Linked DNA regions of Oryzias latipes. The protein of the gene in region 1 purifies or fractionates together with the protein of each later gene. This does not show direct contact. Links are inferred from orthologs where the notes say so. Each region holds a gene or a part of one and is shown on either strand. Other genes may lie near its edges. The genes, in order: lethal(3)malignant brain tumor-like protein 1 and anapc1.

Region 1 (3,831 bases):
TGGCAACTCTAAATTATCCCTAGGTGTGAGTGTGAGAGTGAATGGGTGTGTGATTGCGGACATTCCACCCTGCGACAGACTGGCGACCTGTCCAGGTTGTCCCCTGCCTTCGCCCACAAGTGGCCGGGATAGGCTCTGGCAGCCCCGTGACCCCGAAAGGGAAAAAGCGGTTAAGAAAATGAATGAATGAATTAACTGCACATGTGTTGCTGTTTTTGCAATTCTTTTGTAATACTGAAAAAGTACTTTTTTAAAATTATATTTTTTTCTTTTCTTCATCTCCTTTTCTATTATTTCTCCCAATGAGATAATAATGTTTTTAATGAAATTAGACGAGAAGATTATTATTCTTAGTTTTTTCCGTTTTTGGTTGGCTTCCACCCCTTGATTCTCTCCATCTTTTTTCTTTCATTGATGCGCTTGTTCTAAAAACTCTGATTGGCCGTTGCATGAAGTAATAAGCTGACTGGTGTCTTTTGAGAAGGAGGGGACAGTAAAACAGAAGAGTGGACATGGGCTCAGTATCTGGAGGAAACCAAAGCTGTCGCTGCTCCGAGCAAGCTCTTCCAAGAGGTAGACTTGTCTTCCAAAGTACACATTGGTTGTCTTGGAAACTAAACCTAAAATTAACCTAAACAAAGAAATGCATTTTGACTGTTTTTAATATGATAAATAAAGGATTAACGAAGTTCGCACTATGGTTTCATTTTTTAAAAACCTAATTTTTGAAGCGGTTTGGGTGTTTTTGCGTCAACCAAGTTTTATTTAGATGTTTTTACAAAGGGAGTTCTTTAAATTTCTCCAGACGCAGAGGGTGCCTACAGTGAAGAACGGTTTTAAGCAGGGAATGAAGCTGGAAGGCATCGATCCGCAGCATCCCTCCATGTACTTCGTCCTCACTGTTGCCGAGGTGAGTCGGGCAGTAGATCCGAAAAAAAGCGTGCCTTATAAACCTTGTTAATCATTAAGGCACTTCCAAAAAATAAGTGACAGCCTGCCAAAAAGTTTGGGGAGGTGATGACCTCTGTGGTTGGCTTTGCTTAATGTGCGCTGATGCCGTCATGCAGGTCTGTGGTTACCGGCTGCGGCTGCATTTTGACGGCTACTCTGACTGTCATGACTTCTGGGTGAACGCCAACTCCCTGGACATCCATCCTGCTGGCTGGTGTGAGAGCACAGGACACAAACTGCACACGCCCAAAGGTCAGAGGTGACACCACCATAGATCTAAATGCACGTCAAAGGACCATTGTCTTATAAATGATATAATTTTTTTGCATGCAAACGTTTGGGAAGTCTCTACTTTAATCATACTGTAGCAAAGTGAGTGCATGAATTCAGGTTCTTTATTTATAATTTAGTGTAAAGATCCAAATAGCATTTATTTATTTTAATCAGCATTTTTATTTAAAAAAAAATAGTTACGACATTTCTCCTGCTTGTTTTTTTCCGTTATTTCCCTCCACAGTAGTTATAAATCACATATATATATATATATATATATATATATATATATATATATATATATATATATATATATATATATATATATATATATATATATATATACATACATACATACATACATACATACATACATACATACATACACACACACACACACACACACACACACACACACACACACACACACACACACACACACACACACACACACACACACACACACACACACACACACACACACACACACACACACAGTACAGACCAAATGTTTTGACACAAACTTTTGGTTTGTACTGTATATTACTGAAAGTAAGTGAAATCCTTAATGGATGATAACAATAAATTAGTTATTATTCAAATCAGACATAAAACATGGTTTTCCTTGCATTTCTGTCCTTTTTTTTAGGATGTAAAGAAGAAGAGTTTACTTGGACCAACTACCTGAAAATGACTAAAGCTCAAGTGGCTCCTAAAGAGCTGTTTTCCAGTCCTGGCAGAGTAAGTGTCTTTGAAATAATTTATAGAAATACTTTTCTTCAACACAGTTGATGAAAAGAAACATTTCTTTAAAAAGAGCACCTCCATTAAAAACTCAAACATTTGTCTCAATTTTCTCCATGCATCTAGTTCAACTAAGAACTTTATTATCCATCTTTCTGGTGTTGGAGACTTTTATAAAATTTGTTTTTCAATCGCTGGCTGTTTAAACATTATTTTAGTGCCAAAGTCCCAAAAAAAAAAAGTCTCTATAATAAAAACTTTACATATATTGTTTTATTTAGTATTTTATTTACCCTTTATTTGTTTCAGATTGATGTGAATTGTGGCTTTGAGATTGGAATGAAGCTGGAGGCGGTTGACCGCATGAACCCTTCCCTCATCTGTGTAGCAACGGTCACCGACGCCGTGGACAACCGCTTCCTGGTTCATTTTGACAACTGGGATGACACATACGACTACTGGTCAGCCATCGTTGGTTGTTGCGCTTTTTTACGTTGTACATGAGAACTGGACCGAGTGACCCCTCCTTCCTCATGTTCCAACAAGCCGAAACCTCATAGACTTCTATGGAGAAATAGGACCCAGTACTTCTATTTGTCAGAATAACTTTTGTTGCACTGATACATTTATTTAACATCCTATTTTTTACATGATTTTTTTGCTGCATCTCAAGTTATTCAAGGCATAAACTGACCAATCAGATAAAAGCAGTTGGCTTAGTTCTTAAGGCAAAACCAGCTAAATGAGGAAAACTATCGGTCCATTATACACATTTTTAAAGGCTCAATGCAGTAATTAAATTGACCTTTTTACTAGCCCTTTCTCATAGTAAATTTAATGCTTGATCAAACAATTAACCCATTTTAAAGGCTAGAAAAAAATTCTTATTTACTGGGGTTATTTATCTGAAAGTAAATAGACAAACCACTGATTTTAATTGAATTTGTAAATAATAAATCACCTAATTGGTAGGGTTTTTTGTAATAATGAGGGAAAAAAATGAGCCTAGTTTCAGTTTCTGTCTGGGGTTTTTGATTTGTTAATCATTGGCATTGTGATGACAAACTGCAATGAGTCAGTTTTTTTTTTTTTTTTTTTTTTAACCTTTTAGAGCAGAAGTCTTTATTGTCTCTTCAATGATACACACTAAGAAGCAGTCATCTCTTTGAGGTTTGATGCCTCATGTAGATTACGCGTCTGCTGTTGTTGGTCAGCCGCTCCACAGCCTGATCCACTCAAACCGTTTCGGTGATTCTGGGATTTTTCCCACCTGCATTTATCAAACGTGTATTCTCCTGTAATTCTGTTAATTTGTTGGTGTTCTGCTGCAGGTGTGATGCCAGTAGTCCATACATTCATCCCATTGGTTGGTGCCAAGAGAGGAACCTCCCCCTTACGCCGCCCCAAGGTGACCAACGTGTTAGGAGTTAATCAGTGATTTCATTACTTTCAGAGTTATACAATAGCTCATAAACAATAAAGGTGACTCGCTTCAGTGTTCACTTCCACACCGATCAGCCAAAAACAACAAAACTGCCAAACAGCACATCATTCAAGAGAAGAGAATTCTATTTATGTGAAAGGCAGCAAAAAAATAATAAAATAAAATAGGTTAACAAATGTTTTAGCAGTCAAAATATGCAAGATGGATTTTATTTTATTCTTTTGATTGTGGTGGAAACATTAGAAAAAGTTATTTTTACTGTCATGAAAAATTTAAAGTCACTTTTTTTGTGCTTTGCAACAACAGACTATCCAGACCAAGGTCGGTTTTCCTGGTGTCTGTATCTGGAGGAGACGGGTGCCAAAGCTGTAGCTGCAGAGGTCTTTAAAGTGGTGAGAAATCAGTTTTTTACTGATCTA
Region 2 (3,065 bases), on another chromosome or scaffold:
GTGAAGCCTTTGCAACAGGCATTGTCCTCTGTGAAGGGAGGTGTGTTCAACTGGAGTTTCAATCTGCAAGAAAAGCATGTGAGGAGTATCAGCTGAGCAGTCAGTTGGCTCTTTTTAAACACATTGTGGTGCTTGAGAGAAAAATATGTTTGTAATCTTCTGGCAGGGAGGGTTCTTGTTTTGACTTGAAGGACAGATGCCAAAAATTCTTTTTTTTTTTGACAACTGCATGTTGCTTGAGAAAACACACCTATTTTCAATGACATGAGCTGAACATGTTTCAGCTGGTTTTAATGCAAAGGCTGTTTCCTTCGTATTAATTTCATGTTTCAATGTTAAACAGACTGTGCATAAATCCAAACAAACACCCTCCAAACCTTCCACACACAAACACGTTTTTGGAGGACAAAACACACTCCTAGGAGCGTGGGAAGCAAGTGAAGGGATCATGTCAACATCTCTAACTCACCTTTCTGTTTCATTGTTTTGTTTAACTTGTTTCTGTTGAGGAACCAAAAGAAAAGTGCATCCTTGGCAATAACTTATCTAACAAAACTTTGCAACTCAAACATGAAGACTTTACATAAGTTACACATTTTAGTGCCTTTTCTAAAGGGCATTAAAACAGGAATGTCTCTGGTTACACACAGTCAGGTTAAATAAATATTTCATGAATGAAACATCATATCTTAAATGTCTTTCATTATGCTGTTCTAAATATATCAGAAGGGCTTTCTTTATGTTGTTTCTTTATAAAGGCCACATGTTGCAGCATATTTGGGGGATTTTTGACCAGCAGTTCAGCAGAGTTTGGGTGGCTGAATAATGCAGCTTCTTTCTATCAGTCTCTTAAAGTATTTCCCAAAATCATGGGTGGGGCTTGTTTGGGTCACTGATTTGTGTGACAAGTTTGTGACTCTTTAAGCTAAGCAGCTGCTCCCTCACCTTTTAAACAGCTGGTTATTGCTGCATTGCAGAGTAAACCAAATACACCGCCCTTATAAAATTATTGACTCTGAACTGGGTGCAGCTGATAAAGGAGCTGATCCGTCAGGGTGGAGTTGTCTTTGAGAAAATGAGACTAAAGGCTGACAAACTGCCTCTTTAAAAGCCATTATAGTTGACATTGTTTTGTGTCACTTCACTGATCCTGTATTTTCTAAAAGACAATAATTGTGAGGTTCACTGATATGAAAACATGTTCCACTCCATGTGTGGGCATGAAATAGAGGGGGATTTAGAGCACACTTTTTCAATGAAGCCTGTCGGCACATAAAAACTAATTCTCTATAATGTAATGCGGTTGAATAAGAGGTTTTTTTTTTAAGGGGCACTACAGTTTAACTTGTTATAATGGCTTGCTGAACACTTTCAATTGTTTAAAAAAAGGCTAACCCTTGTGGTTTCTCTTCTGCAGAGAACAGTGTTGTCGTGAGGTCCTACATGAGGGGGCAGGTTCCCTCCAGAGAAGCCCAGTCCTTGATGCTGGCCTGCTTCCTGATTTATCGCTCCATCCCATTTCTAAAGAGCTCGCATACACAGCTGGAGGGTAAGTCCAACAGATGTTCACACAAAACGGTACAATGTTGTCTCCTTCATGCTGTCGCAGTTGCACTGTGGCGATCGGTTGGGTATTTTAATTCAACCATAGTAACACGTCAGTGATTTTTCTGCTTACAGGCTGCACTTCATTTGGGGATTTGGTGTCCCACGGCAGCCAGCTGGGTATCCCTCTGAGAGACTTGCTCCGGCTTGTACCCATTCTGCTGGACTCTCCTATTGGATCCCACAGTCTCCTGGGTTTCCCTCTGCAGGCATTTTCTTCATGATCTATTTAACTGATGGGCAGGTTAATAGACTCAGAGATTAATGTTGCAGTTTCAGATGGGATTGAGTTCAACACACAGTCTGTAGTACTATGTTGCTAGTATGATGCAAAGTTTATGTAGCCTTGAGTGGGGATGTGGCTACAAACTGTCTTGTTCTAAGCTTGTTAAAAGTGGAACAGAAATGACAGTTTTTGTGTAATATAGTCTTATATATAGGATTTTTTACAGTTCTAAAAAGGTCTGGTGCAGTCATCATGAGGTTTATGTGCCATTGTTGTGTAACAACAAACCTGAGGTTGGACTTTTAGAAAAACTCACAGGCAGCTTCATCCTCTTCCTGCTGAGTGCAGATGTGAATGAGGATTCTTGTCATTGACTGTTAATAAACCAAAACAGGATAAACACACGTCTCTGGAGAATTCACGATTATTGTGGTTCATAACAACATAATAATTAACACAAAAAGCTCATTTATGCAGTTGCTCTGTTAATGCCTCTATCCTATTTTCTCTTCTTCGTTGTAGGTCTCCACTTTGAAGTTTAAGAAGACAGTCTGTCCCGCATGTTCTTTTATGATCGTATCACTAAAAGCTAAAGAGCAGAGCCCTTTTGTTTAGCCTTTCTTCTGTTTCATCTATATTTTCTTTTTGTTTAACACAGATGTGATTGCTGCATCCCTGTGGTAAATACAGAGTTTTCTTTTAAGTCAGTGTAGGTTCCAAACAGGCTGTGCTGTGCTGCATTGGGTGGTTTCCCACATTAAAGGCTTTCCTTCAGCTTCCAGTGAAGAATAGATTTTTTTACTCATGGGGGGAAGGGGGAGCTGGCCTTCAAGTACGTATTTTGTCTCTTAGGTTGACACAAAATCACGTTGTTGAGTCTGAAGTTAATCCAGCTGTTTGCCTTTAATGTGACTCACGATTCAAAATTAACTTAAAATGTCGCCACCTTATTTAATGACTTATGCAGCCCTTCAGGTTTTCCAATCAATTAAATTAAACAAACTGGTTGTTTACCTCTTAAATACAATAATGGAGCTTTATTTGAGCCTTTTCATAATTGGAAAGGAACTTTTGGCAGGTATTTCCACATATTTACACTTTAAATACTGTCGTAAAGGCTTAATCAATTTGGTTAACTAAAGTATAAAAAGGTGACGGATGCTTGCACAAAGATTCACATAAGGAAGAAACAAAACAGAAGTAGAAATCTGGATGTGTGTTGAGGCTGTAGAGT

The links.
Region 2: the proteins of lethal(3)malignant brain tumor-like protein 1 (region 1) and anapc1 purify together in Homo sapiens (affinity purification with mass spectrometry; 4 studies listed by BioGRID and IntAct, counting the BioPlex papers as one, with this or other methods). This does not show direct contact. The link is inferred for Oryzias latipes from reciprocal best matches to the Homo sapiens genes L3MBTL1 and ANAPC1.

Annotation. Positions count from the first base shown.
Region 1 is NC_019865.2:7,371,599-7,375,429, reverse strand, and holds part of lethal(3)malignant brain tumor-like protein 1, read left to right. Parts: intron 1-484; coding exon 485-573; intron 574-805; coding exon 806-910; intron 911-1,067; coding exon 1,068-1,203; intron 1,204-1,873; coding exon 1,874-1,965; intron 1,966-2,277; coding exon 2,278-2,429; intron 2,430-3,299; coding exon 3,300-3,376; intron 3,377-3,718; coding exon 3,719-3,804; intron 3,805-3,831. UniProt on the Homo sapiens protein: Polycomb group (PcG) protein that specifically recognizes and binds mono- and dimethyllysine residues on target proteins, thereby acting as a 'reader' of a network of post-translational modifications.
Region 2 is NC_019873.2:15,506,631-15,509,695, reverse strand, and holds the end of anapc1 (anaphase-promoting complex subunit 1), read left to right. Parts: intron 1-1,417; coding exon 1,418-1,549; intron 1,550-1,680; coding exon 1,681-1,829; 3' UTR 1,830-2,239; downstream 2,240-3,065. UniProt on the Homo sapiens protein: Component of the anaphase promoting complex/cyclosome (APC/C), a cell cycle-regulated E3 ubiquitin ligase that controls progression through mitosis and the G1 phase of the cell cycle.